4 linked regions of the Arabidopsis thaliana genome follow. The protein of the gene in region 3 purifies or fractionates together with the protein of the main gene of each other region. This does not show direct contact. Each region holds a gene or a part of one and is shown on either strand. Other genes may lie near its edges.

Region 1 (7,127 bases), on a different chromosome or scaffold from region 3:
GAAAGAGAAGCAGTTCGGAGAAACAATGGCGGTAGAAGACACTCCCAAATCTGTTGTAACGGAAGAAGCTAAGCCTAATTCAATAGAGAATCCGATTGATCGATACCATGAGGAAGGTGATGATGCCGAAGAAGGAGAGATCGCCGGAGGAGAAGGAGACGGAAACGTTGACGAATCGAGCAAATCCGGTGTTCCTGAATCGCATCCTCTGGAACATTCATGGACTTTCTGGTTCGATAATCCTGCTGTGAAATCGAAACAAACCTCTTGGGGAAGTTCCTTGCGACCCGTGTTTACGTTTTCAACTGTTGAGGAATTTTGGAGGTTAGGTTTTTGATTTTATTTTATTTCCGACTCAATATCTGGTTTGTTCAATTATTCTGCATCTGGGTTTTGTTATAGGTTTCGATTTGTTGAGGAAAGTTATGTTCTTTATTGGGGGATTAGAAGATCCCATTGAAGTCATTATATGTTTTTGATGAATTGCTATGTTTGGTGTTTGAATTCGTAGCTAAAGCTTATGTTAGGGTTTAGCTTTGATATTCTGTTCACTTGTTTGTGAAGTAAAGTAGAAGAGCAAAGTTTGTGAGAGAAAGAGACCAACTTTGAAATCTTTCTTAGTGGTTTTCTAGGTATCAGAATTTGAGCAAACACTTTCGTGATGACTGAGGGTTGATGTTGTATAGTTCTTGCTCTTCCCAATGAGATTCATAGGTTTGTGTATTGTTCTTTCGACTTCTTATTTTAAAAGACATTTTGGTTTGCAGTTTGTACAACAACATGAAGCATCCGAGCAAGTTAGCTCACGGAGCTGACTTCTACTGTTTCAAACACATCATTGAACCTAAGTGGGAGGATCCTATTTGTGCTAATGGAGGAAAATGGACTATGACTTTCCCTAAGGAGAAGTCTGATAAGAGCTGGCTCTACACTGTACGGTTTCTATTCTTCTTTTATTTTGACTCGTAACTCCTGCGTCATCATCCAATTGAATCTCACCGGTTTTTCTTTTTACATGCTTGGTTTAGTTGCTTGCATTGATTGGAGAGCAGTTTGATCATGGAGATGAAATATGTGGAGCAGTTGTCAACATTAGAGGAAAGCAAGAAAGGATATCTATTTGGACTAAAAATGCTTCAAACGAAGCTGCTCAGGTAAATAGAAAAGACCTTTCTCATCAAAACTCATCAAACAGTCTCTCTGTGTAAAAATAAGACTTTAATTCTCGTCTGCATCAAATGTTGCAGGTGAGCATTGGAAAACAATGGAAGGAGTTTCTCGATTACAACAACAGCATAGGTTTCATCATCCATGTAAGAAGAAAGCTTCTCATAATTCTAATTCAAAAGTCTTCATTTTCTTCAGATCTCTCATTGTTTGGTTTGGTTTCTTTTTTTTTCAGGAGGATGCGAAGAAGCTCGACAGGAATGCAAAGAACGCTTACACCGCTTGAAACCTCTCAAATCTTTGCATTGTTTCAATTACAGTTTTGTATGTGAGAGATCTCTATTTATCTAAACATGACTTGACAGTCTGTCTTTGCTAGTGTTGATTGTTCACGAAGCTCTAACATTTCATTTAGTAATATATTAGTATGGTTCTTCATAATATTTACGTTGGTGCCCTTGTATAAAACCACCGGAGTGAGCGCAAGCTTTACAGACAAACAGTGCTTCTGTCTACCCAAGGCGGGCCTTAAAAGCCTGAATAGTGTATATGTTTACTTGACAAGAGCCCATGTACACTCATGAGCGATTGACTTTAACCGGTTTTAGAGAAAACTACTTTTACATTGTCACATTTACATCCTTTATAATTAACCTTTTAATTTAGGTTTTAAAGATCCACCTCAGCATTTATTTTAATGGAATGATTATTTAGCAGTGTGAACCGATTAACTCGGTTTTTGACGGTGACCGGTTTAGAGGAAATGGGAGTGTCGGTAGGAGATCTAAGTAGCGAGTATGTAAATTGTCCAACTGTCTGAAAAGGACCACTTGGGACGACAAGATTCTTCGGCTAATAATAATACATCACTCGTTTCAACAAATAAAATTTTCCTTTCTATTATTATGCAATCTTATAGCATATGGATTTGATCTTTTTTAATATATAAACAAAAGGTTTTCCAATTATGCTAAACCATAATCTGAAATTGATTTTAAATAGCTACAATCAACTACCCAAAAGCTTCAAATATGCAAAATAATAAAGTATAGGTTTATATATATAAACGCACACAAAAGAGGTTGAATAAAAATAAACATAAGGATGCATGTGCAGTCCAGATTAGATCTAAATCTATTGAGTATTGTAATAATATTGTTATGAAGATCTTGCTGCGAAACTACACACATTTAATTCCAACATGTTTTGTTTATAGAAATTGAATAAAATCAAACGCGCCTTCATCTTCAAGTTAAAAATCAAATCTTAATTAGTGAAGACAAAGAAGAAGAAGACATTATTTTAAGTGAGTTCTCTCTCTGTCACACTCACAAAGCTTTATACTTTCTGGCTACTGCAAGCTCATCACTGAAAAGAGCTTAAACCAGAGAGATCTGATAAGAGAAATTTTAGAGTCTCTCTGCTTCAACAAGATCTACATCGACCAGGTTCAATATTTTTCTCTACTGTTAGTTCGTGTTCTAGCTCTGTTTCAACGAGATCCGATTCTGTGTTTTCGATTTCAGTGCTAAAGTTACGGTCTTTGAATCTTTCTATGTTAGGATTAGTCTTTTGAATCCATAAACTCTAGATTTCAATTGTTAAAGGCTAGGTTTTGATTAGTTTGAATTAGCTAGATCCTTTTTTAACAGATCTTGATGTTTAAGCTCAAAGTTGTGTCGTTATACTGAGAATCAAGTTTGTGATTTGTTGGGAATGGTTTCAGGAGATTAGAAAGAATCATGGGTTCTAAGCATAACCCACCAGGGAATAACAGATCGAGAAGTACACTATCTCTACTCGTTGTGGTTGGTTTATGTTGTTTCTTCTATCTTCTTGGAGCATGGCAAAAGAGTGGGTTTGGTAAAGGAGATAGCATAGCTATGGAGATTACAAAGCAAGCGCAGTGTACTGACATTGTCACTGATCTTGATTTTGAACCTCATCACAACACAGTGAAGATCCCACATAAAGCTGATCCCAAACCTGTTTCTTTCAAACCGTGTGATGTGAAGCTCAAGGATTACACGCCTTGTCAAGAGCAAGACCGAGCTATGAAGTTCCCGAGAGAGAACATGATTTACAGAGAGAGACATTGTCCTCCTGATAATGAGAAGCTGCGTTGTCTTGTTCCAGCTCCTAAAGGGTATATGACTCCTTTCCCTTGGCCTAAAAGCAGAGATTATGTTCACTATGCTAATGCTCCTTTCAAGAGCTTGACTGTCGAAAAAGCTGGACAGAATTGGGTTCAGTTTCAAGGGAATGTGTTTAAATTCCCTGGTGGAGGAACTATGTTTCCTCAAGGTGCTGATGCGTATATTGAAGAGCTAGCTTCTGTTATCCCTATCAAAGATGGCTCTGTTAGAACCGCATTGGACACTGGATGTGGGGTAAGTCGATTTCTGTTTGATCTAGTAACATATCTTATTCATTTCTTAGATTCTTATTGATGCTAATTTACCATCTCTAGGTTGCTAGTTGGGGTGCTTATATGCTTAAGAGGAATGTTTTGACTATGTCGTTTGCGCCAAGGGATAACCACGAAGCACAAGTCCAGTTTGCGCTTGAGAGAGGTGTTCCAGCGATTATCGCTGTTCTTGGATCAATCCTTCTTCCTTACCCTGCAAGAGCCTTTGACATGGCTCAATGCTCTCGATGCTTGATACCATGGACCGCAAACGGTAAATATTAACTATCAAATTAGGCGAAAATCCATTTCTTGCTTGTACTCATATTGGTGTCTTTGCTTCTTGATTGCTTGTACAGAGGGAACATACTTAATGGAAGTAGATAGAGTCTTGAGACCTGGAGGTTACTGGGTCTTATCGGGTCCTCCAATCAACTGGAAGACATGGCACAAGACGTGGAACCGAACTAAAGCAGAGCTAAATGCCGAGCAAAAGAGAATAGAGGGAATCGCAGAGTCCTTATGCTGGGAGAAGAAGTATGAGAAGGGAGACATTGCAATTTTCAGAAAGAAAATAAACGATAGATCATGCGATAGATCAACACCGGTTGACACCTGCAAAAGAAAGGACACTGACGATGTCTGGTACAAGGAGATAGAAACGTGTGTAACACCATTCCCTAAAGTATCAAACGAAGAAGAAGTTGCTGGAGGAAAGCTAAAGAAGTTCCCCGAGAGGCTATTCGCAGTGCCTCCAAGTATCTCTAAAGGTTTGATTAATGGCGTCGACGAGGAATCATACCAAGAAGACATCAATCTATGGAAGAAGCGAGTGACCGGATACAAGAGAATTAACAGACTGATAGGTTCCACCAGATACCGTAATGTGATGGATATGAACGCCGGTCTTGGTGGATTCGCTGCTGCGCTTGAATCGCCTAAATCGTGGGTTATGAATGTGATTCCAACCATTAACAAGAACACATTGAGTGTTGTTTATGAGAGAGGTCTCATTGGTATCTATCATGACTGGTAAAACATCTATCCACACACAAATCTTTATCTTCCTTCCATCAATGGCAACAATCATACAATCTCTACTGTTCAAATCTCTGTAGGTGTGAAGGCTTTTCAACTTATCCAAGAACATACGATTTCATTCACGCTAGTGGTGTCTTCAGCTTGTATCAGCACAGGTAATGATTATAAACCCTAACTTAACCTTAAAGCTCCACACTTTCTGAGAATCAAAGCAACCCTTTATTTAGCCCTAAAGCTACAAACTTTCTGAGACTTAGCAACGTTGAAGTGAAACCCAAAGCTATGAACTTTCTGAGAATTAGTAAACACTTGTTTTAACCTTAAAGCTATGAACTTTCTGAGAATTACCAACCATTGATCTAAACCCTAAAGCTACAAACTTTTTGAGAACTAGTGATGAATTTTTCAATTCTGTACTAGGGTTGTTTAAGTAATGGGTCAATTTCATGTTGGCAGCTGCAAACTTGAGGATATTCTTCTTGAAACTGATCGGATTTTACGACCGGAAGGGATTGTGATTTTCCGGGATGAGGTTGATGTTTTGAATGATGTGAGGAAGATCGTTGATGGAATGAGATGGGATACTAAGTTAATGGATCATGAAGACGGTCCTCTCGTGCCGGAGAAGATTCTTGTCGCCACGAAGCAGTATTGGGTAGCCGGCGACGATGGAAACAATTCTCCGTCGTCTTCTAATAGTGAAGAAGAATAAAACAAAAACAAAAAACTCCTCAGGTATTGTAGTTACAGTCCCTGTACTTTACATTTTTTACCAGATTTGACTACGAACTTTTGTTAAGATCAATTAAACCCAAATTCCTTCTTTTTCCTTTGTTACTCTTATGATTGAGTTTGTTTTTTCTTTCTTTCTTTCAGGTTACTAAGCTTGAAGTGTAGATCTATTTTACAACATCTGGAAAATTCTTATCAAAAAAGGAAGGAATCAGAATTTCCATTAAAGAAAGGTGTCAAAAAAAAGTTGTAAAACTATATAGTAGTGATCAAGACGAATATGTGCATTTATGTTTTATTTTTGTTCCCTAGTTTTTAATTTTATTTTTTTGAAGGAAGAAAAAATTAGTTCCATGTGTTTTTGCAAGATAGTTGAAACCTTGGACGCTTGTTATGTATGATGCGATCTTGACATTTTTTAATAACAGTTATTTTAAATAAATTTATGATATAAACGGAAACTTCTAGATAGTTTTAAATAACATAAAATTAGTAGAAAATATCAATAACAGTTCGATGACATTATTGTAGGGAAATTGATTCATATGTGGGTCGCTATTGTACGTAAATGGATACTACTGTTTTGGAAGAAAGCTATAGTTGTCATGGGTCACCTTTTGTCTCATGACTCTCATCATACATTTATAGATTACATATTTACATTATCATAACATTTTACACATATTGATATAACTATCTCTAATAAAAAAAAAACACAATCTAACTTTATAGCACATAAGTATTAAACATAATGAATTTATCCCCAACAGTTTTAAGTTCCGGTCGAATAAAAAACTATGGGTTGTTGTGACATCGGCTCCTTTATCTACAAACAAAAAGAGAAAAATTATTCTTCTTTTCTTTTTGGGCAAAGATGGAATAAAAGGACCAATAAAAATAGTAAAAAATACAACTAAGACTACTTTCGTATAAGTGATGACTCTATAAAGGAAACTGTTTTTTTCATTCAATTATTACATCAATACTACTTTCGTTTGAATTATAACATTTTCGTACAAAGATGGATGCATATACACATTTTGTTTGGCTTATCCTTCCCAGACAAAAAAAAGTGGCTTATTGTTTTTAACCTAAATAATCCGACTCGTATCAATACACTCGCTTAAGAATTTTTATTTTCTTTGATAACAGGAATTTCGCAAAATACTAATCTTTCGCATTTTTGGAGTGCCGAATATTGATGTTTTAAACATCTATAAGGAGTTAAGGATTAAGGACCAACTTTAAACAAAATCATAGTTGAATAACTCGAATCATAATTCCTCATCTCCAAGATGAGTCATCAAATCACTCGATCACAATAAAATGAGATATTTCGCCAAAGCTCAATTTCATTAAATTATAGGCAAGATCATACTCTTCCGTAAGGAAAGCAAATTGGAAACTATTAAACTTACATGGATAATAAAAGATACACAGGTTGATGTATTTTTAGGAACTACAACATCCAGATAACGAAACCATAAGAGAAAAAGTTATTACTAGAAAATAGATAAAGAAGTCTAAACATCCTAACCAACGAACTATTGACCTAGTGGTAAATTTCTCGGGTGAAGGTAGTAGGTTCAAGGCACGTTAGAAGAAATCTCTTCTCCAAAAAAGATGAATTTAACTTGGTGTGAATTCCGCCTCGGAATGTAGAACTTTTGGAGTTGAACTTCCAGATATTAAAAAAACAAAAAAAAATCATTTTAAAGATAATGAGTTCCATGGCGAAGATAAACCACTAGAACTGGCGGAAAGTTAACTGATGACATAT
Region 2 (9,130 bases), on a different chromosome or scaffold from region 3:
CAACCTTTGAGATATGACTGCCAAGGCTTCTGTGGACACCACAACATTTTAAGCATATAAACACTCCAATATTAGCTGACCTGTAATAAGCAACCAAGAGTTTTATGGGTTTACGAAAAACGAAACAAACCAAAAAATGCACAAGTAGGGAAACAAGATCATAACATTCAATCAAACTGCTTAGAGAAGCATAAAATGCTTACTGGAACAAAACATAAAAATGGCAAAACTTACGCCCACTTAGGATCTGGAGCGCCACAATCAGCGCAGACTCGGTTATCAGATTGAGTTAAAAGATCCCTTATTCTCCTTTTACCTGTGAACCAACAAGGTGGATAAATCAGTCACAGCCTATATATCTCTCATACAAAGACTAATCTTTGCTAAGATAAATGGTTTACCTGAGCCAGGCTTTCCGAGTCCGGCTCCAGAATAACTCATTGCTCTTCTAAAGAACTAGCAATCATCAAACAGAGAATCCTTCACAGACCAAAGAAATCACCCATCACGCACAATATGGTTAGAACATGGTATTGTTAAATGAGAGATCAAACTCTGCTTTGCAAATTTAAAAACCAAACTTTTTTGGGGAAACCACGACCGCAGAATAACCATGAACAAATCGTTTTCAATACCCATTTGTAGATCATCAGCATCATCGATTCGTGTTCCCAAAATCGAAATTCAAATTTAGAAGAGAAAAAAAGGCCAAAAATCTGATCTTTGTTAATTCCTGAAACCATTTCAACGACGAAAACATAACCGACAGGAAAAGACTTACAAAGAAATATTCAAACTCGATGAAACATAAAACCGATGAAGAAGAGATCAGAAAGGAACAAGTAATATGTACGGAAATTCCATCAAGGAGATTTATAGATTGGATTGGACGTTCTTACCAAGGTGAGGAGAGAGAGAGAGAGAGATATGTTCTTGGGACACAAATTCAAGATGAACAAATAATTGTCTGAAAAGACAACTACGTGCTTTTTCTTCTAAAATTTAATTTTCCAATCAACTGTAAAGTTTTGTGAAGTTGTAACGATGCAAGAAAAAAAAAAAAAAAAAAAAGTTGTAACGTTGCCATTGCCATGTTAAGGGTCAAATACCAAATACATTTCCTTCGTTGACTCGTTTCTACCCAAAGTAATTTCTACATTTTTATCAGCATTTATTTCTATTTTGACTAGAATGAAATTCGGTTTGATTTTATATATAAAATTTCATTTCGATTTTATGGCCAGCCTATTTCAAAATTTTGTTAGACCTTTTAACTTTCCACAAACACTCATAAAGTGTGAATAATTAAGAAACTCATGTGATCTAATCATGAGCTAATCATTATCTTAGTTGATTTGGTTCAACAAAAAAGCTAAGGAAAGAGACTCTTGATTACTTTTTAAGACTAAACTGAGAGAGTATGTAAACTCTGAACTTCTTTTGAATTTGTCTATCACCATAATCTATAAGCAATACTACAAAACTGAAAATACGCATAAACCAAAAAAAGATCCTTCATAGTGAGTTCTTCTTCTTCAAGCAGATTTCAACTTGTTTGATGCTGATGCAAGTTGAGATAGTGTTCTGTGTCCCACGAACAACAGAAACACTCCCAACAAAGAAAGTGCCTTGAGAGTCGTGAATAGATCCAACTGTAGAATGCAAACAAACAAAACAAAGAAATTGTGATTTGATGCAATGATTCAACTGTAGAATGCAAACAAACAAAACAAAGAAATTGTGATTTGATGCAATGATTCAACTGTAGATCAAACAAACAATAATCGGTTATGAAAACTTGCCTTCAACCAGAATAGCACATATAGAAGCAAAACAGCTCCAATTCCGCAGTGGAAAAGTAAAGCGGATATTGCAGATCCAGTCGACGATGGGAAGCTCTTTATGTTCACTCCCAACCGCGTAAGCTGAAACATAAAAAATATATATGAGTAGTGAAAGAAATGTGATGATGTTTTTCGGATACTATTTACAAGCAAAGGGAGACTGACCCCAATCAGGAAACCGATGAATGGGAGAACGATAACACCCAAGAAAACTAGTGAGAGCTGCTTTGCTGGAAGCTTTTCAGGAATCCTGAATATGTGTGATATTTCAGCTTTTGGCCCATATCTTGAGTAAGGCTCAGTAGACTGTAGAGGAGGACGAGTCGCCTTCTCTGGACGCTCTGGTAGGTCTAGTTCAATGTGACCAATATTACTCAGTAAAGAGTTCTCCTGGGAAAAGAGAAAGGAAAATAACACTGTTCAAATCTCAGAAGACATAAATCATCAACTGCATTGGACCTGAAAGTAAAGTACTTACCATAGAAGCATCTCCAATGGTTAGCTGTATCTCATATTTACCAGAGAGGTAGTAGAGCTTCTCAACCAATCCAAGAAAATCCTGAAGGTAAGAAAATAACATTAACCATTAATATTGTATTTAGGACGTCATTAATTTCACCAAACTTGATCATTAAACTTTTTTTGCAAAAGCAATTTTAAATGAAGTTGAAGGAACTTAACTAGAACTAATTCAGACTTCTTTCCAGAAGTTTTCACGAGAAAGATATGCTCGACCTGTGACTCATGTTTCAGCTTGAAAAATGCCTGCATGGAAGTAAGCAAGTCAAGAAAGTGAATAGAACAGAATATAACCATTGATGAAGCGAAAAATCAAGAATGAACAAACCTGGTGTGGCTTAAACGCATTGCCAAGTGGAGTAGTTAACTGGAATGACAGGCGTAGCTTTTGAAGGTGGTTTGCTGATAATGATACCGCTCCATCTTTAGTTAAATCTAGCCTACAAATGTTACAGAGAGAACCAATAAACAAAAAGAAGACACTAAGCACAACAACAAAAAGTTTGAAATATATATTGTAAGCAATAATGGTACAAGTTTCCTAAGAAAAATGGTTAAGCAATTAGCAATCAATCAAAATAAGCAAAAAAGGAAGTTGTTCATCAACAATACAGGTGACATACTTTTTCTGAGATTCAACGCTTCCAATGTCACTGTCAAGTACAGCAATTTCTGCATTTTCAATGCTAATAGCTCCTGTGGCAGCTATAGGCACTTTTGTTTGAGCTTCAGTTATGTATACTTTCTCATGTGCTGATTCATCCAGCACAATCTGCAGAAAACGAAGCTTATCATGTTGTCATCATACATTTATATGAAGTCTTGGGTGTAGTAAAACCAAAGAAGTGCAATACCTTAAATACAAAAGTATATTTTCCAATGTCAAAGTTCTTGGGAAAGGAGTCCAGGAAGTACGTTGCACTGTCAGCGTCAAACTTAAGCTCCTGTACCCCAAAAATGTAATGGAAAAATGTAAACCGGCCTAATGCAGAGAATAAGGAACATTTCTATTGCAAGCTCAAACAGTAAGAGATACATTATTTACCTGGTTATTAATTACAGATGAATCCACTGACTTAGAACTTAGAGCTTGTGTAAGCTTCACACTAAGAGCTGGTGCCTTCGAACCCAGTACAGTGCTAACTTTAACCTAGTTCCAGATAAAGAGAAAAAAAATCTAAAATAAGAAAAAATGTAATGGATGAAGGGTCAACTAAAATGAGTCATTATCAAATAGATAAGAGATCTCTACAAAAAAGATGCAATGCTATGAGCCTGAGCAATCTCTAAACCAAATACCAGCTAGAATCCAACATCCAACCGTTATAGCCAGAAAGTCCAAAGTTAAGACTTTCACTACTAGAAGTCAAATCTTGATGCAAGCTTATGAATGGGTACCTTCAGAGGCTCTTTCTTTGTCAATGAAATGACAGTGGATGGAAGAGACAAGATGAGTGGAACAGAAAACCTGAAATGATAGAGAATGACCATAGAGCAAATTATTGTTCCCATAGAATGATAAAGTTTCAGCTAGACCATAATAAATGAGCAAGTGGTTGAAATTTCACAAGTGTTCAAAGTTTTAAACTTCTACTCTTTCCCTACAGATATCATTTCTTCGGTAATCATTTTGTTCAAAATTCTAACAATGTAAAGAGAAACAGTTTTTCTCTTTCATAAGCAACTTTACTTTAACACAAAAGAATGGAAGTAACAGTAAGTCCTTGTAACTCTTATGTCTTTCACACCACTCAATTCAAGGTTACTGAAATGATTCTAAGATGTGTACTGAAATAAACTAATAAGAAAATGCACAAAGAAAATGCACAAAGGGGCATGAAAGTAGTATTACTTGTTGTCTTCCAAACAAGCTAGTGCATCTATTTGGTTGAAGAAGTCCTTGGCATCACCAGGAATTCCAACACCCAGAAAGAATTTGGCCAGACCAACTATCTTATCACCTGGAAGCTGCATGAGATAATGGGAATGCGAAGGTCAACTATCAACACATTTGTCAGAATAGGATACATGAAAACATGGGTATTACATACGTTCAATCCTGTGGATTCTGAAGCTGCAAATGACGTGAGCCCTCTAATAACTGATGCAGTTGTTGAGATCGGGCCTTGACTTGCATCAACAGACTTCTCATCAAAATAAAATGTCCCATCATCTAAAAGACCAAAAATAATAATTCAAAGCCCACATATGCAAAACCCAAGCTGGCAAAAACTATGAAGTGAGTGAAGAGAATATAACATGCAATACATAGGATAGCAAGTAATTTACTGCATACCATATTTTTGGATACTGTCAGAAAGCTTCAGGATACCCGTCTTCACCGACTGGATCTAACAGAGGACAAACATGAATGACGATCATTACATAACCAAGATTAATAAACTACCAGATAAAATGAAAAAGAAACCACCAGAATAACCAAATGAGAAGTCAGGTGGACATGCATAATTATCAAAACACGAATCTTTCTTTGTGATTATCAAATCACAATTCCCTGTAGCTAAGATTTGGAATTTATAATTATCAAAACAAAACTCTTTATTTTAGTTACTTAGAGATTCCAGAAGCAAAAGTAGATCATCACTAAACCAACATATCGTAGTGATATCTCATCAAAATATATTCTCAGGAAATCAGAAGTATAGTGGATTAAACATCTCACTTACCAAAGATGGATCAAACTCTGAAGGTGCTAATGAAATCACTCCAGCAAGCGTTTCATAGGCTAAGCCTGAGAAAAAAAATCGCATGTTGAGAAGAATGAGTGAAATAACAAAGAGCAAAAGAAGTGAACAAGCTGAAGCAAGAAAGGAAGGGATACATAATCTAAAAGGCTCATCATTAACGTTAGGTAAGGGTTAATCCAATATGTACTACTAACCAGCAGCAAAAGTGCTTGATTCGGGATTGTTGGAGCTGTAGCGCCATCTTCCATCACTCTGGCTAAGAGACTGATACAAATGCACTATATCAGCCAAATAATACCCGGAAAACAATCTAAGTAGTATTAATATAGTAACTGAGTTTTGGTAACATATCGAAAATATATATATACTTCTACCAGAGTCTATAATTGATAGTCCAAAAAGACAGTGTATGAATGTCACATCTGATAGTTCAACAACAACAAAATTGAAGGTCAGCTAAACAAGTTCAAACCTTGATGGAACGGAAAATGGCTTCGGCATCTCCAAGACTTATATGAGTTCCAGGAAATTGCTCCTGCATTCATGGAACAGTGAGGTCAAACTTGAAGCCAGGAAAAAGAAAAGTCAGGAAGCCAAAGCTATGGAGTTGAATAAAATAAAATAATCACGATCACAGGTACCTTCTGCCAAAACATTTTCATACTTCAACATAATGCACGAAAAACTAAGAAAACTCTCCTAGAAATACTCTATGGAAAAAGGGTGTAGTCAATCTCACTCAAGATGTCCACCAAAAGTTTTAACTCGTATTTACCTTAGCCAGCACCAAGCCTCTGACAGAATAATAGAAATCAAGCAATAGCTTCGCATCTTTAACACCAGCTTGAAGTTGAGAAACAATGTCCTTCAAAAGAGGAAAAGATAAGGTTATTTTAGCCGCTTAATAGTTAAAATTATGATACTGAGAGGAGACAATTGTTTACCTTAGGACCAGCTTCACCAATTTTACATTTTAGAATCCCATTAACGTTTAACGCATAAAATGCATCCTTAAGAGTAGAAGAAGACGACTGAAGAACTTTAACCACATTCTCACAAGTCTTTGAGCTAAGATCAGACTTTTTATCAATTCCAAGAATCTCCAAAGTCTTTAATGCTTCATATGCCTCCTCCAAGCTGATAGTAATAAAAATCAGATTAGTCCGTACAAAAACCATTCATGAACATTAACGAGCAACCAATATGTAATCGGTGAAATGTGGTTAAAACCCCTACATCAAAGCAATGCCGACTTAAGATAGAGAAACCAACCTTTTGTATGATCCATCGACTGGTACGAAGACATCCAGAGCCGCAGATCGGTGAGAGTCTGAGATCGGCTGGAAAACAGAAGCAGCACCGCAAATTGCTACGGCGAGTATCAAAACCAGAAACCGTACGTTACCTCCGGCCATCATCACTGCATAAGAAAACTCAAAAAAACAGATAAACTCATCCAAATCAATACAATTACACATCTACGACGGATGGATTCCAAAATCAACCGAAGATTTAAGCTTCTTACAGATCGGAAGTAGATCCGTATAGTCGAAGAAGCGGATCAGAGGTCGACGAGTCTCAGTAGTCAACGGAGACTGAGGTTTGAGGTAAGCCTAGGATCGATCTATAGCTTTTGAACCAGACGACGAACCAGAGAGAAGGCTAAAAAATGAGTGTGAGTTTGATGACACTACCTGATATTACCGATTTACCCTCGATTTGAACTTAAATTACACTTCATGAAACGACGGCGTACCTTGAAACCCTAAACCTTGCAGATCAACTTCAATCACCATTTTCATTTCAAACAGAGAGAGCTCTGAGGAAATCAGAATCTGAAAATGATCAGATTCGCGAGACCAAAACCTATAATTGACTCAGTGAGTTACAATCTTCTCCAGAAATGTTACGCTAGTGGAACCCCCAAAGGAAAATCGAAGCTGAAGACAGGCCAATCATTGAAACGCAACAAACTCACAATCAAAAAAGGCGGTGGAAACGGCGGTGGCAGAGGTGGTGATGAGGTGGATAAGGGAAAAGGAAGAATCTCAGATCAATGCATAAACGCTCCTTGTCCTGTTCGTTACCTGAGACCTAAGGAAAGAGAGCGAGAAGCGAGACGAGAGAAGCTAGGGCTAATCAGTAAAGCGAGGCAAAAAGAGATTGATTTTCAGAAGAAAGGTGGATCCTTTACGATGGGAGTTACTACTGCGCCGATGAGGATTGGGACTCCAGGATTGGATTACATTTCGTTAGGGATTTTTACGGAAGATGAGTTACCAAAGTATAAGGTTACAGTGGAGGATGGGATTAGACTTGCGAAAGAGTATAGTAGAGTGCTTATGAGAGAGCATAGAGCGAGACGTGTAGCGGAGATTAGTTTGATGAAGATGAGGAACGCTGCGGTTGAGGCATTGCCGGAGAATTTGAAGAAGGCGGCTTTAGTGCGTGATTTGACTCCGTTTCCGGTGAGTCGAGGTACGGCTACGCTTACTCCACCTATTGAAGGGTATTTGGAGAGGATTATGAATGCTGCGGCTAGGAAGAGCTCTGGTAAAGAGAAGTTGAGATGATCTTGTTAAGGTTAGAGGAATTTGTCTTTGCGTCATTGGTTTTCTCTTGTTTTATTAGTTGTGTTGATTGGATTTCGATCAATGGATATAACTTTGAGACATTTGTCTTTATTTTTGTGATCTACTTGAAATAAAATGGTCACTGGCAGTTGCTACTATATGATAGAATATTAGTTGAAGCTTGAAAGTTTAATCTTTTTCTACTTTATATTGTTTCATATCGGCCTTCTGAGAGGTGAAGTTGTCTAGGATGTAAATGGAATCTTGTTAAACCTCTTTTGTATCTCTTTCCTTGATCGTGTTTGCCTGTTTGCATACTTCTTTCAAATCTTCATTTTTCAGTATTATGTGTATGAACACTGTACACTCATACATTTAGGATTTGTCTCTTCATATATTCTAACCTTTAGGAAGGCCACTGGGTCATGATCAGCTCAAACTTGGTATAACTTTTTATCCTTACCAAAACCATATTCCTAGATAAGAACTGCAGACTATCTTGGAATCTACAGTTCTGCACCAAGATTACAACTGTTTAATCAATATGGGAGTTGAGGTTTGTCCTCTGTGAGCTTTGTGTTGGAAGTTCAGCAGAATGTTATGTAGGAAAGGATGTCCTGCATCTGCTTGTGCTTCTTCATTCAAATGCATAGTTTCTGGGTATTTTCTTCAAGCTCTCCATATCATTTTCTGCATCTTGTTACCCGGTCCAGTAGAGTGCAATGGCAAGAGTCCTAAAGCTACAAAGACCACGATTCTCCAAGGATCATCATAGTTTGAAAGCTGAGGTAGCTAGTCTAGAGAGAATCGTAGTCATTAGACTTCATCTAGGGACCTCTTGGCTTCTATGTTTCCTTAGTTCACTAGCTATTTTTGTAGACCTATTGAGTCCAAATCTCTGGTAAAATAATCAAGTTTGTGTATCTGAGTTCTTAAACCACAAATTTTTATCAATTCTAGTATTCTTTAGGATCTTTTGAATACCACTAAAACAAAGTTCCTCTATGCGTAAAGATCAGATTGTATATGTTGTTTGATCAATAAAACAAGACTTTTAAGCATAAAGCAGGAATGGGACTTTCCGATTTTGTTTAATTAGAGCCTCTATATGTTCTCTTTCTTCCCTTCCATGTCAAAAATATAGCTGTAGTACCTCTACATAACTGAAGTTCTAAAATAAGTTGCAATCTAAATTGAGATCCCTTCATGAAAGCCTTAAGGGATGTATTGCAACACCGTTCTGCGCAGATTTTAAGCAACCCCATCTTCCGAGCCGCGGTTCCTGCCATATACCCAAAGTTACAGTTAAGATTGGCATTCACAGAGACGAATATATATGTCTGGTTAAAGGAAAATGTGTACCTGTCCAACACCAGCGATCAGAAACCGACCAGATTTTGCAAAAGCTAAAGAGTTCACAAACCCAGGCTGCAAAAAGGTCATAAGCATTGGATGTCAGTAACAGATGCAACACACAAATAGCAAT
Region 3 (7,770 bases):
ATGAGTTAGGATAAACCATGGCATCACAATCGCCAGGTCTATTATACAATAATTCAAAAGAGATCGTTAATAACTCGAACAGCATGGAGTCTCCTATCTAACATTACAAAATATATTTAGTAATAGACAGAGATACCATACTCAGAGGAAGATCCGCTTAGCAGCCTCCAAAGTATTGCATAGTAGCATGGTGATCGTCATAGGTCCAACTCCTCCCGGTACGGGAGTGATAGCCGAGGCAACACCTAACGCTTCCTCGTAACATACATCCCCGACAAGACGGTAACCAAACTCACAGCTACTATCCTGCAATATTATAACACGTCATGCTTCAATGTCTAATCAGAAACAAGAAAACAATCTGAAGGAAAAACATTTCAAGCTCTAATTCAGTTTAACGTTTTCTATATCAGATTGGATTCAAGCTATGGTATAAGTCTTTTTTCATTGGAAAGTATTAAGACTTTTGATCAGTTAAGGAAAATAGTTTCGTTTTTACCTCGACTGGAGTTGTTCCAACATCAATGACAACTGCTCCAGGCTTAAGCCAACTTCCACGAACTAAATTAGGTATACCCGCTGCTGCTATAACGATATCCGCCTTCCTAGTAATGTGCTCTGGATCCTTTGTAAACGCATGCACCGTGCTTACTGTCGCGTCATGCCTCTATCCGAGAATTTCAGAAAACATAAATGCATAGTTAATTCCCAAACCAAAATGTTTAAGCATAAGAATCCACTTGAACTATAAAGAAGAACTAATACCTGCAATAATAAAGACATTGGTAGTCCAACGATGTTGCTTCTGCCTATGACCACAGCATTTTTTCCTGCTATTTCAACACCCGTTCTTATCAACAACTCCACACAGCCCTTAGGAGTGCAAGATACAAACAGCGGTTCCCTCCCTCTCATTGCAAGATTCCCCACGTTTAATGGATGAAACCCATCAACATCTTTCTCCAATCTCACCATATTCAAGATTTTTGATTCATTAAGATGCTGTACAAGATATCTTCCATTAAATGATTGGACTCATGAGAAAAAAAAAAAAAAAGGAAAGGAAACCAACAAAATACAAGAACGTTCTCCTGAAAAAGAGCTCCACAAGTAAGATGCTCTATCGCATAACCTGTAAATTAAATGCTTTACCTACCAACGAAAAGGAAACCTTAAAGGGGAAAATGTTATGCATGAGTCCATGGTCGATGAAAATATATGAATCAAGAATTTCTACATACAAGTATGAAAACAAAGTAAACGTAACTACTTGACCTCCTAACATAGAACTAATCTTTGACATCAACAACACTAACATCCCCCATCACAACGTCCAAAGAAAAAAATGAGAAACATACTTGGGGTAAAGGAAGTTGCACAAGAATTCCGTGAATAGACGTGTCTTCATTGAATTTTCTCAATACACTGATAATCTGTCCTTCAGTACAATCCTCTGGTAATTCAGCCAAAACAGATTTAATGCCAGTTTCTTCACAAGCTTTAATTTTGTTGCGAACATAAGTTTGCGAGTCTCTTTGTTCACCAACCAAAACAACAGCAAGACCAGGGACTTTTCCAACAGCCTTTTTCATCTTCCCCACTTCACTAATAATCTTTGTTCTGATTTCCTCAGCGATAACATTACCATCTATCACCACAGTCTTCTGTTCAGTCTCTGTATAAATGCATACACACAGAAATCAACTCATACAATTAGAGAATTTTCTTGTAACATATATATATAGCCATGAAAATGCAACAAAGAGTATTACCAAAGGAAACAGGAGGTGGAGGATCAGAGTAAGGAATCCAATTTTCAGGCAAGTCAAGTGACACGAGAGGAGGAGACACTAAGATGGAACTAAAGCAATGTACATCCCTTGTTGCCAAACGAAACGCCTTAGTATGCGCCGAGGCCAAAGCTTTCCTCGCGATCATTAACATACTCAAAACTAAAAGAACAGTCACTGATTCAAATCAAGCACAAGAAAAAAGTCAATGTAAAAGTACAGACCAGACAAGAGAACCTTAGACAGGTCAGCCTAAGCTAGAATAAAACCATAATTTGATCCTTTTAGCTCCATACTCTTCATTACATCCACACAAACAAATAAAGAGGCGCATAATACAGTAAAAACAAACTTGCACCAGATTGAACCTAAATGGATTAAAGATTTCACCAGACTATCATAAGCTTTCACTCAGCTAAAATTCATCTTCTTCACTCAGCTAAATTCATCATACATAGAATTCTTAACAAAGAAGAAATCGGAAAATAGGAAAAAACAGAGGAGAGATTTACCAGTGGTATATAAAGCGTCGTCAATGGCGTTGAAAAATATCGCTAGGCATACCGGAGTTTAGGATTCAACGAGTGACAATATAAAACGATGATGATTAACAAAAAAAGTAAAAAGAATTCACCACCGTGTGAGAAAAGACACGTGTTATGATCTGGAGATAGATCTTGCAAGTGGGTTAAATAATAAACGGCGGAGACATAGCCACACGTGTGAAAAAAAAAGAGGTGTGTGTGTGTGTGTGTATGTGTGTATGTGTGTGTATCTCTCTCTCTCTTCCTCCAAGTAGCAAAAAGCAAAGGGGAAAGAGACGATGCGATCGGGCTAAGTGCAGAAACACTTATACTTGTGCATTCTGCAACACAACACACACACAGAGAATTCGACGAGAGTATGATTTGAGTGTATCGAGAACAGAGAGAGACATTGATAGAGAGATCGTTGGCAACGTTTTGGGGATCCAATGCGTTCGTAATTGGGAAAGACATTTCATTCAATTCTAAATCGGGAATATGAAAGGCGGAGGCGGTGGTGGAGGAGGTGGTGGCGGAGGAAAACGCCGGTGGAAAGTTCTGGTGATTGGAGTTTTGGTTCTTGTTATTCTTTCTATGCTTGTTCCTCTTGCTTTCTTACTCGGTCTTCACAATGGCTTTCACTCTCCTGGTATCTCTTATCATTCTCTCTCTAACACTCTCTTTGCTTTTTTTCTGCCGATCTCTGTTTCAGATCTAATCTCATCTTTTTCACTTTTTCAGGATTTGTCACTGTTCAACCGGCTTCTTCAGTAAGCAATTTCTCGTTTCTTTGTGTGTTTGTTTTGGTGTGTTTTGATTTTGTTCTGAATCTTCTTTCTTTTGGAATCAGTTTGAGAGCTTTACCAGAATCAATGCTACTAAGCATACACAGGTAATGTCACTCTCCTTTGATTGATTCGATTCTCATTTTTTATACCAAAATCTTTTTGCTGCTTTTGATATTCTTTCTTTGGTTTTGCAGAGAGATGTATCCGAACGGGTCGATGAGGTTCTTCAAAAAATCAATCCAGTTCTTCCCAAGGTTGGTTCCACTTGTTTCAGTGTGGATTAAAGGCCTTGACCTGTTCCATTTATGTTATAGATTAGTAGTTTTTGACAGAAATTTTAGATCTTTTCATGTACCCATAGAGTCAAAGCATTTATGGTGGTTGGAAGCACTTCATTATCTTACACACTGCTCTCTAATTGACACACACATTTCAGATCTGGTCTATATATGTTTAATTTTCAACTATTGAAGTATGTTTCTGTCATAATTATTGGCATTAATGTTTCACATCTTGTCTTTCAAGTGGTGTAAAATATATAGGCTTTGTAGTTTGATTACAGATAATAGGGCTATTTGTAAATGTATAGGCTTTGTATCAGGTTTGCCACAGTATTCTTGCAAGATGTCAATGCTAACATTAGAAAAAACTTAGATGCCTTTTCGTTTCATGGAAAGCTATGCAAGATGCCAATGCTAATATTAGCCAGTGAATCTGGAAACTTTACTGGCACTACAAACAAACTATAGGTCAAAAGGTTGTAGTTAATCAGTTGCCGTATATTTTGTGTGATGTTGCTTAAAGGGTAGAGAAATTAGATGAATGATCTCTTTATTTTTTTTATATTTGACTATCTCATGAGACTAGAAAGTTGAAATACTTTCATGAATTATGTTGCTTAATGTATCTCAAATTGTCTTGGGCAAGGTCAAGAATTAGTTCCTTGGGTGAGATGGTTAAACTGTTTGTAACAATTTCTATACTTATGTTTTGTTTTATTGTATCACATGCTAGAAAAGCGACATAAACGTGGGTTCCAGAGATGTGAATGCAACAAGCGGCACTGATTCTAAAAAAAGAGGTCTGCTTTACAAGCTTCACTTTCTTGAAATTCCTCTTCCATTATTTTATATTGATTCTGGTCTGATACTTTACGTCTGGTCTCTCCATTAATCTGCAGGATTACCAGTGTCCCCAACTGTTGTTGCCAATCCAAGCCCTGCAAATGTACAAATATATTAAGTGGTTTCCTTAGTAGACATCTTTATATCTCTCACCAATCATTTAACGTTAACCTTACTCTGCTTTCTTCTGTGAACAGAAAACAAAATCGGAAGCCTCATATACAGGTGTTCAGAGGAAAATAGTAAGTGGTGATGAAACTTGGAGAACTTGTGAAGTGAAATATGGGAGCTACTGCCTCTGGAGGGAGGAAAATAAGGAACCAATGAAAGATGCCAAGGTGAAGCAAATGAAGGACCAGCTGTTTGTGGCTAGAGCATACTATCCCAGTATTGCTAAAATGCCTTCTCAAAGCAAGTTGACTCGGGATATGAAACAGAATATCCAAGAGTTTGAGCGTATTCTTAGTGAAAGTTCTCAAGATGCTGACCTTCCACCACAGTAAGTTCTCTACCAGTTTGGGTTTAATCATTTTTGTACTGAAAGTTAGTTCCTTACTGGAAAAGATTTTGTTGGATTCTAGTCACATGAATCTCTCCTAGTTTGCCTTCAGTTTGTCTGGACATCCTGTTTTCTAGTGGTTTACTTGCTTTCAGATGGTTTATGGTATAGAAAATATTTATCATAACATTCTCTCTTCACCTATCCAGTGGGCAGCACATCCAGAAATATCACTATTTTGAAGCCTTATCGGTCTCAATATCTTAAACCAATGTATAATTTAGTAAACTAATGTACTAGATGATAGGAGGACGCCATGGATGTTGTTTGTTCTCTCTCAAGAGAAGCTTTGATGTGTAGAATCCTATGCTAATTTCTTTAAACGTACTTACTGGGTATCTCTTAACACTGTTGTGTCAGGGTTGATAAAAAGTTGCAGAAGATGGAAGCTGTAATTGCAAAGGCAAAGTCTTTTCCAGTCGACTGTAACAATGTTGACAAGAAATTGAGACAGATCCTTGATTTGACTGAGGATGAAGCTAGTTTCCACATGAAACAGAGTGTGTTCCTCTACCAGCTTGCAGTACAGACAATGCCTAAGAGTCTTCATTGCTTGTCAATGCGACTAACTGTGGAACATTTCAAGTCAGATTCACTTGAGGATCCCATTAGTGAGAAATTTTCAGATCCCTCATTACTTCACTTTGTTATCATCTCCGATAATATACTAGCATCGTCCGTTGTGATCAACTCAACGGTTGTACATGCAAGGGTGCGTCTTAAATCCAGTTTTCTTTACTTAGTATTTTTTTTCATGCAGTCATAGAACTCTGATTTCTAATTCTTGGTTGGTTATTGATGTTTCAGGACAGTAAAAACTTTGTTTTCCATGTACTGACAGACGAGCAGAATTACTTTGCAATGAAACAATGGTTTATTAGGAATCCTTGCAAACAATCAACTGTTCAAGTATTGAACATTGAAAAACTCGAGCTGGACGATTCTGATATGAAACTGTCTTTGTCTGCGGAGTTCCGTGTTTCCTTCCCCAGTGGTGACCTTTTGGCGTCTCAACAGAATAGAACACACTACTTATCCCTTTTCTCTCAATCTCACTATCTTCTTCCCAAATTATTTGACAAATTGGAGAAGGTTGTGATTCTGGATGATGACGTTGTAGTCCAGCGAGACTTATCTCCCCTTTGGGACCTTGATATGGAAGGGAAAGTGAATGGCGCTGTTAAGTCGTGCACTGTGAGATTGGGTCAGCTAAGGAGTCTCAAGAGAGGAAATTTTGATACCAATGCTTGTCTCTGGATGTCTGGTTTGAATGTCGTTGATCTTGCTAGATGGAGGGCATTGGGTGTTTCAGAAACCTATCAAAAATATTATAAAGAGGTCAGTTTCCTGAAAAACCTTTTGTAAGAGATAATTGGGTGATTCTGAGCAATGACTTCCTTTTTTCATGTGCAGCAGATGAGTAGTGGAGATGAGTCGAGCGAAGCAATTGCATTGCAGGCAAGCTTGCTCACATTTCAAGACCAAGTATATGCTCTTGACGACAAATGGGCTCTATCAGGGCTTGGTTATGACTACTACATCAATGCACAAGCCATAAAAAACGCAGCCATATTGCACTATAACGGGAACATGAAGCCGTGGCTTGAGCTGGGAATCCCAAATTACAAAAACTATTGGAGAAGGCATCTGAGTCGGGAAGATCGGTTCTTGAGTGACTGTAACGTGAATCCTTGATGAGTAAGTAGCTACACGGCCAATGCTTTTAGAAGCAAGGTCACACGCAAAGAAAAGATTTAGAGTGCAACATCTCAATTTTTTGGGTAAATAAACCCGAATGCATTGCAGGAGAAATGCTGAAGGGGAAGAAGCATGCAGAAGCCATACCAAATTGATTATAAGAGACGTGATGATGGTGATTTGAAAAGCTTTGATATGATTAAAAAAAAAAAAAAGAGGATGTGAAAGAACTTTGATATGTTGTATATGATTTTTGGCAAAGAGATGTGCCATTCTTTTCCTCGCGTTGTTTTTCCAATTTGTCATGTAGTTTCTTTGTTATTCTTTACTTTTGTGACGTACCAAAATAGAAGGCGATAAGATTTTTTTTAATCTATTTCTTATTAACTAGTTTGCACAGTACATTTATCCATGGTGTTGAAGCTTCTTCTCAGAAAGCAAAAACAATCAGGTCTTATGAAGGATTTCTCTCAGACAGTGTGTCTGTTGCAATAGCGGAGGAGGCCCTTTCCTCGGTAGGTTAAAGTTTCGCATCCTTGCTCATGCGAAACTAAATAGTAAATAGTAAAGAAACTTTGACCATACAATGTGTCTGTAGCAACATTACAGCAGGAAGCTACACTAAATAGTAAAGAAAGTTTCGCATCCTTGCACATGTTAAATGATTCAAGCAGAAACATTGTTATAAAAAAAACACAAGCTGCACAAAAACCAATCCACACTTCACAAATCCAAACGCACCAAATAACTTTGTCGACAACTATGGTCTCAATAGTTTAAAGCACAGAGGTAAATGGATCCATCGCAACCTTTACAGTCCTTGTACTTTAATTTTGAGCTGATAGTTTTTCCCCTAATTGAGGTAACGTACAAATCAAGAAAGACATTGATTACTATGTAAATAAAGTGCAGTGTAGGTATAATGTTATATCCGTATAGAGATAATACATATAAGTAAAGAGCATGCATGTGGTATAAAGAAAGAAGAAAGAGACCTCAAGCAAAATTGTAACGATGAAGTCCCATCTTAGCATAAAGCTTGACTAAGTGGTAAGGATTAGGAGGGAGATAAAGACAGTTAACCTTGACCATTTTATAACCACCGCATACACGTCCATATGACCATATACAAACATACTTTCATCGTCGTCGGATGATGACGATACAGACCAAAACAAATCCCAATCACAATCATGGTTAGACATATAATTAACAAGAAGATGAGAGAAAGAATATCGATTGGTTTTGAGAAATATACGATATTCGGATATTCCCATGATCAAATTT
Region 4 (6,412 bases), 7.2 Mb from region 3:
CTTCCTCAGCAGCAATCTGTCCATACTTGGAACTCTTCTCGCTAACGGAACTCATTTGTTCTTCAAGAGCCTGAATCGAGGCCTTAAGCCTCATAATCATAGTAGCACTATCATAGTGAAGCTGCTGAGCTTGATATAACAAAACAGCCATGTCACGAATAGTAGACTCAGATTCCAAGACAGTCAAGGGACTTCTCCTAGTAGCAGCACTCGATAAAAGCAACTGAGAGTTACGGATCTGAGCACTTAAGTCCCAAGCAAACTGAAGATTCTTACTTTCTTTAGCAATGACAACAAAAGCTTTAGCAAGAGCAATCTGATCATTAACTTGACGAGCAACGGAAGTAGGACTCAACATTTCCTCAGTCATATTCATACCCTCTACAAATTTGTCATTACGGTAACGTCGCTGCACAAAAGAAAGGGTTCGAATTTAGCAATTGAAATCGAACAAAAGAAGAGATCTTTGAGATTGAATATACCTTAGGAATAGAGGGTCTAGGTTCAATATGACCAGCTTTGGAGAGAATGAGAAAGAAGAGCAGGAGGGCAATACCAGAGAGAACCCACCATACCACATTCGAGATCTTCCTCCGTCCAGCTCTCCGGAAACTATCCCCTCCTCTCCTTCTCATAGTTACTGTACTCGCAGAGCTGTGTAAAACCCAGATCTTATAAATGAATGATGATGGTGGAAGTATTCGGATCTGAGAATTTTGTCGGGAGAAGCAAAAATAGCTCAACCGACCATCTTCTTTCTCTTCGCTGCAAAAAACCTCGAATTCACCCTTCTTTGAGAATCAAGTAACTATTTTTTTTTGTAAGAGAGTGTTAAAAGACATATCTACCCTCTTTTGGCTTTCAATTTCTCTAAGCTAGTTTGGACTTTGGAACTATATAAATTTTGGTCTTCAAGCCAAAAAACTACATAACAAAGCCAAAAACTTCATCCACACTAATCCGAGCCAATTTTCCCCACTTTGGAGTAGCTCTGGGCATGTCGGTATTCAGGTCAGGTTCGGATCAAATTTTTCGGATTGGAGTTTTTCGGGTTTAGAAATTTTGGATTTTTTTTCTTTCCATATTTAGAAATTTTGGATATGTTGGGTTATACGTACAATTTTGAATTGGGTTCGGTTTGGGTTCACTTCTAATACAAGTAATTCGGGTATTGGTTAAAAACCCATACATAACCAAAATTATTTTGGGTTTGAGTATTACTTACCCAAACATTGTCCAATTATACCCAAACATATATTAAAATATCCATAAAACCCCAAAGATCTAAAATTATAACAAATTTTTCCTTAAGAAAATAATATAAAACAAGAAGTAAACCTTGTTTTGAGCTCGTTCCATAACTCAAATCATTAAACAAGTCACAAATTCAAGTTATTAGTGCATATATGTCCTCATATGTATATATATGTTCAAATAATAAAAAGTACTCACATGTATCGGGTTCGGTTCGGATAATACCCGATACCCACATTTATTTGAAAACAGAATATGATCGGGTAATTAGCCGAAACCGAAGTATAACAAGTTTGGATATTTCAGGTCGGGTTCAGTTCGGTTCTACGGATTCGGATATTACGCCCAGACCTACCCTGGAACATATTAAATGTAATATTTTTTCCTTTTTTAGTGTTTAACATAATAGCTCTTTTATTCATGCTTAATCTTGGAGCTATTTTGTACTATTTTTGACATTTGCTTCGTAATCACAATCATCAAATTTTATTTTCATAAGTAAGAAGCTTTTTCGAGACTTAAAACTCTTAAGTTTTTGATCGAAGTGCTTCAATCATCTTTGCTAACACTTCATGAAGAAAACCACTTTTTCGCGAATAGAACTCGAATTCTATAACCTGCAAAGCTTTCCAACTGCTCCTCGAATATCTTCTTATCCTCTAAGTCAAGGCTACTCAATCCTTGTTGAGGAGTAAGTTCATCAACACCAAAACGCTCTAGTGATCTAACAAGAGAAGAATTGGGAAAAGTATCTTTGTTTTTACCAAGCTCAAGGTTCATAGACATAACTTTCTTCGATTTCACAGGTGATTCTTCAATATCTCCCCAAACAAACTTAGACAATTGAAAAGCCCTGAGATCATGAAGTCTGATATGTTCATCACCATTCTTGGCTTTCACAAGATTGTTCTCATACTTTCTCTTTAAACTCGCAAGCATTTTCATAAATTGAACCTTAATTAAAGACATCAAACTAATAGTTTTCTTGTTAAAAACTATTAATATCTTCAAAAGCACTTACCTCAATATCGTTTTTGTAATCGATAAGAGTTTGTAAAGGCACAATCTCATAGTCTTCATGCATATATAACATAAAAAGTTTAGTTATGAATTTTATGAATTGTAACATGCATGTATAGAAGTGAATGAGGTATTTATTCCATTCTTCTTATTAGCTTTATCATATACAGTATTCCAAATAAAATCAGAAATGAAAATCAAAATCGAATCCAACAGTTGTTCGAATTCCAAATATATATAATAATAAAAAATCTCCAGGGAACGCGGAACATAATGTCGCTTAAAGTCTCGAGTTTTGAGAGAAAGTCAAACCCTAAACAAATCTGCTGTTTATTTACTTTAAAAAAAAAAAAAAAAGAATATACCTAAATTTACTTGGGCGTTACTCCAATTTCCTAAATACCTCACTGTCTTTTCTTTTTTTCTTTTTTCTTTAAATTTTGTTTTGTGTGTCGCCGACCTCTCTCTCACGTACCCTAAAGTAGCTTTGATAGTTTCCATATTGCATATTCTTTCACATTCGCAGCCTCTCTTCCAAAGCTCTCAGCTTTGTTTTCTTTTGGATCTGAGGTTTGAGAAATCATCAACATGAGTTTCCATAGCTTTTACCAGAGAGCTTCTAGCTTATTCAAGGCTTACCCTTCTACTTCCAAGATTCTTCTTCTCAGCACTTTCAGGTCTCTCCTTATTCTCCTTTAGATCTCCTTCACCATTCTACACTTCTTCTTCTTCTTCTTCTTCTTCTTATTCTTCTTTTAGCTGTAGAATCTATATAACTCTTTTGTTTCCAATTCTCTTTATAGATGCTTTGACTGTTTTCTTAGTATTTTTAGTCTTGTGATGTTTTTGACCACTCCTATGCACGTGTCCGAATTTTTCGCTTGTCCTCTTTTGGCCTCTTCCCTAGCTGTGATGCATGATATAATGCATACCATCTCTATAAGCTTCATACCTTTTTCGACTCAGATCTATGTTTTTTTTAAGTAACGTGGGTCTAACAATTATTTTGGTTTGTGTCTTTTTATGTATTGTTGTCCAGTGGTGGTGGTGGTGTACTGGTGTATTCAGACTCGAATCCATTGAAACGTATATTACACGCAGACGCTACTCTTGACTCAGATGGCAACCCAATAAGGAAGAAGAAGGTGGTCGTTCTTGGCAGTGGATGGAGCGGCTACAGCTTCTTGAGTTACTTGAACAACCCTAACTATGATGTTCAAGTTGTCTCTCCTCGTAACTTTTTCCTCTTCACTCCTCTCTTGCCAAGTGTCACCAATGGTACTGTCGAAGCCCGTAGCATTGTTGAACCCATTCGTGGTCTTATGCGCAAGAAAGGATTTGAGTACAAAGAAGCAGAGTGTGTCAAGATTGATGCATCGAACAAGAAAATCCACTGCCGGTCCAAGGAAGGGTCAAGTCTTAAGGGCACAACAGAGTTTGACATGGATTATGACATTCTCATCTTAGCTGTTGGTGCTAAGCCTAACACATTCAACACCCCTGGAGTTGAGGAACATGCCTATTTCCTCAAAGAAGCAGAGGATGCTCTAAACATTCGTCATTCAGTCATCGACTGTTTCGAGAGAGCCTCTCTTCCGAATCTAACTGAAGAAGAGAGGAAAAAGATTCTGCATTTCGTTGTGGTTGGTGGAGGACCAACTGGAGTCGAGTTCTCTGCAGAGCTTCATGATTTCCTAGTCCAGGATGTGGCTAAGATTTACCCAAAGGTCCAAGAGTTCACAAAAATCACTCTTCTTGAAGCAGGCGACCACATTCTCAACATGTAAGTTCCACCCATCAAGCTTCATTAACTTTGGCTAAATCTACTGCTTTTCCAATGTTGGTTCAATTCTACTTCAGGTTTGACAAGAGAATCACTGCTTTTGCTGAGGAAAAGTTCCAGCGAGATGGTATTGATCTGAAGACAGGTTCAATGGTTGTGGGAGTGACTGCTGATGAGATATCCACAAAGGAAAGAGAAACTGGCAAGATTGTCTCCGAACCTTATGGTATGGTTGTGTGGTCAACAGGAATTGGTTCACGTCCTGTCATCAAAGACTTTATGCAGCAGATTGGTCAGGTTAGATTACACTTGATCACATGAAGAAATCATTTGACTAACCAAATCATTTGCTAGTGTCCCACCTAACTAGATTGAGTATGGTTACAGGGACAGAGACGTGTCTTGGCTACCGACGAATGGCTTAGAGTAGAGGGATGTGACGGTGTCTATGCTTTAGGTGACACTGCAACGATCAACCAACGCAGAGTCATGGTATCATCTCTCTTGACATTGTTCCTTTGTGTCACATCTCAGTTGATGAATGAATCTTTAACCTTCTGTTTTGTCTTGATGTTGTTGAACAAACAGGAAGATATAGCTGCGATTTTCAACAAAGCAGACAAGGGAAACACAGGAACTTTGAAGAAGAAAGATTTCAATAGTGTGGTTAAAGACATTTGCCAGAGGTACCCTCAGGTGGAGCTCTACTTGAAGAAGAATAAGCTGAAGAACATTGCAAACTTGCTCAAGAGTGCAAATGGTGAGGACACACAAGTGAATATCGAAAAGTTTAAGCAAGCTCTCTCTGAGGTTGATTCACAGATGAAGAACCTTCCAGCAACTGCACAGGTAAGCTTGTTATAGATCAAAACAAGATGAAATCAATCCACCACACAGATTTTGATGTTTTGATTCTTATACAGGTTGCATCACAACAAGGGAAGTACCTTGCAAAGTGCTTCAACAAAATGGAGAAATGTGAGAAGAAGCCAGAGGGACCATTGAGGTTCAGAGGAGAGGGTCGACATCGGTTCCAGCCATTCAGGTACAGACATTTTGGATCGTTTGCTCCACTGGGAGGGGAACAGACAGCAGCTGAACTGCCAGGAGATTGGGTCTCCATTGGACACAGCAGCCAGTGGCTTTGGTACTCTGTCTACGCCAGCAAACTGGTGAGCTGGCGCACAAGGATGCTCGTCATCTCTGATTGGACTCGACGCTTTGTCTTTGGCCGTGACTCTAGCAGCATCTAAGCCATTCTTCTCCATCATTTTTTTGTTCTCCTTTTTTCTACGGTTTCCTTTAAATCTTCCCGCTAGTTTGTTGTCTTTTAAAATCAGATGATGATGACTATACATGTCATTCCTATATTTTCTCAATCACATGAACTTTTGATTCTTGAACAAGGACAAGCATATTTCTAATTTAATTCATAACAAAGAGTTCCCTTCTCATACATGACTCTTCCTCTCCCCTCGATCGCTACATCTTCGATCTCAACTTCTTCGATCGATAAGCCTTAAAAGGATTTCTATGGTAAATTTAAGCTCAAGTCAGAGCGATTCACCAAAACCCCTAGAAGAAGCAATTTGAAAAGTAGGGTTGAAGGATTTGACCGTTGGTGGAATCCAGGCCATTAGATTTGGGGACTCTTGGACCTTTTCTCAGTCGTAAAACATATGGCCCATTAAACTTTTAAGAAGACCCAAACATTCGGCCCATCATCGTTTAGATACTCCGTCGGAGTCTTCTTCTTCGTCATCGTCCCAAAACCAACCAGAACGGCTCTGTGATCGGAACCGCCGTATACATCAATTCAACTACGTATGTGCCTTCGTCCCTTAGCTTAGCCAGATTCATCACTGGGGATTTCATCAGCAGCCGTACAATTATGCCCTCTGGTTGCAGTATCAGAGCTCTCTGGATCATCAACAATCAAGACACTGTTGTTTTCTCCAGGTTTCAAATTTCTTCTATAAACCCAAATCTCACTCATTCCAATTTCTACTCTTAATTTGTATGCAAAATCAGGAGGTTTCCGGTCGTCGAGAAGCAATGGTGCTCCGCTTACAAGACGGAGAACGAAAACACTGGATTAGATCTTCCTAGACTTCCCACTGATCAACAAATCTCCGATTCTTTTACTCGAAGAAAGAGACGGTACAACACTTTCTCTTGTTTAGCTTAATTAGATTTTCTGGAAATGTAAAATTGAATTTCGAATCCGAATTAGGGAAGGCTCTACTCGTGGATATGGTATACGTGTTGCTCAATCCACCAAAGGATCGGATTCTTGGGTTGATGATCCCATCACTCGTCATATTATCAGCCTTTGCTTAACCGAAGAAGATGATG

Evidence for each region.
Region 1: the proteins of GAUT7 (region 3) and AT4G18030 purify together in Arabidopsis thaliana (affinity purification with mass spectrometry, with the first as the bait; one study listed by BioGRID). This does not show direct contact.
Region 2: the proteins of GAUT7 (region 3) and HAP6 purify together in Arabidopsis thaliana (affinity purification with mass spectrometry, with the first as the bait; one study listed by BioGRID). This does not show direct contact.
Region 4: the proteins of GAUT7 (region 3) and NDB4 purify together in Arabidopsis thaliana (affinity purification with mass spectrometry, with the first as the bait; one study listed by BioGRID). This does not show direct contact.

Annotation. Positions count from the first base shown.
Region 1 is NC_003075.7:10,011,050-10,018,176, reverse strand, and holds AT4G18030 (S-adenosyl-L-methionine-dependent methyltransferases superfamily protein), read left to right. Parts: upstream 1-2,137; 5' UTR 2,138-2,615; intron 2,616-2,893; 5' UTR 2,894-2,909; coding exon 2,910-3,557; intron 3,558-3,637; coding exon 3,638-3,848; intron 3,849-3,933; coding exon 3,934-4,606; intron 4,607-4,692; coding exon 4,693-4,770; intron 4,771-5,071; coding exon 5,072-5,327; 3' UTR 5,328-5,350; intron 5,351-5,491; 3' UTR 5,492-5,816; downstream 5,817-7,127. Other genes in the region: EIF4E (eukaryotic translation initiation factor 4E), read left to right, coding at 26-324, 768-933, 1,029-1,154, 1,248-1,313, 1,403-1,453.
Region 2 is NC_003075.7:11,276,005-11,285,134, reverse strand, and holds HAP6 (ribophorin II (RPN2) family protein), read right to left. Parts: upstream 6,707-9,130; 5' UTR 6,597-6,706; intron 6,505-6,596; exon of another isoform or gene 6,492-6,504; 5' UTR 6,490-6,491; coding exon 6,344-6,489; intron 6,209-6,343; coding exon 6,016-6,208; intron 5,937-6,015; coding exon 5,847-5,936; intron 5,607-5,846; coding exon 5,544-5,606; intron 5,336-5,543; coding exon 5,266-5,335; intron 5,116-5,265; coding exon 5,051-5,115; intron 4,715-5,050; coding exon 4,660-4,714; intron 4,537-4,659; coding exon 4,415-4,536; intron 4,332-4,414; coding exon 4,216-4,331; intron 3,832-4,215; coding exon 3,762-3,831; intron 3,514-3,761; coding exon 3,409-3,513; intron 3,308-3,408; coding exon 3,218-3,307; intron 3,136-3,217; coding exon 2,987-3,135; intron 2,804-2,986; coding exon 2,692-2,803; intron 2,610-2,691; coding exon 2,526-2,609; intron 2,404-2,525; coding exon 2,323-2,403; intron 2,235-2,322; coding exon 2,010-2,234; intron 1,926-2,009; coding exon 1,803-1,925; and 4 more. Other genes in the region: ZAC (Calcium-dependent ARF-type GTPase activating protein family), read right to left, coding at 5-80, 235-316, 402-441; AT4G21140 (copper ion-binding protein), read left to right, coding at 6,913-7,644; EMB2271 (Transducin/WD40 repeat-like superfamily protein), read right to left, coding at 8,849-8,926, 9,007-9,072.
Region 3 is NC_003071.7:16,160,566-16,168,335, reverse strand, and holds GAUT7 (galacturonosyltransferase 7), read left to right. Parts: upstream 1-2,459; 5' UTR 2,460-2,812; coding exon 2,813-2,963; intron 2,964-3,055; coding exon 3,056-3,084; intron 3,085-3,164; coding exon 3,165-3,206; intron 3,207-3,296; coding exon 3,297-3,356; intron 3,357-4,116; coding exon 4,117-4,183; intron 4,184-4,282; coding exon 4,283-4,329; intron 4,330-4,423; coding exon 4,424-4,725; intron 4,726-5,145; coding exon 5,146-5,497; intron 5,498-5,592; coding exon 5,593-6,123; coding exon of another isoform or gene 6,124-6,150; exon of another isoform or gene 6,151-6,201; coding exon 6,202-6,480; 3' UTR 6,481-6,881; downstream 6,882-7,770. Other genes in the region: AT2G38660 (Amino acid dehydrogenase family protein), read right to left, coding at 142-306, 500-667, 766-1,002, 1,359-1,675, 1,773-1,944; AT2G38646 (uncharacterized protein), read right to left, coding at 7,527-7,760. UniProt on the Arabidopsis thaliana protein: May be involved in pectin biosynthesis.
Region 4 is NC_003071.7:8,952,150-8,958,561, reverse strand, and holds NDB4 (NAD(P)H dehydrogenase B4), read left to right. Parts: upstream 1-2,730; 5' UTR 2,731-2,862; coding exon 2,863-2,951; intron 2,952-3,313; coding exon 3,314-4,057; intron 4,058-4,134; coding exon 4,135-4,354; intron 4,355-4,444; coding exon 4,445-4,549; intron 4,550-4,645; coding exon 4,646-4,906; intron 4,907-4,980; coding exon 4,981-5,310; 3' UTR 5,311-5,505; downstream 5,506-6,412. Other genes in the region: GAUT10 (galacturonosyltransferase 10), read right to left, coding at 1-409, 483-635; AT2G20805 (DNA-binding storekeeper protein transcriptional regulator-like protein), read right to left, coding at 1,825-2,223; AT2G20790 (clathrin adaptor complexes medium subunit family protein), read left to right, coding at 5,949-6,016, 6,089-6,217, 6,291-6,412. UniProt on the Arabidopsis thaliana protein: Alternative NADH-ubiquinone oxidoreductase which catalyzes the oxidation of mitochondrial NADH does not translocate protons across the inner mitochondrial membrane. NAD(P)H dehydrogenase; more efficient on NADH.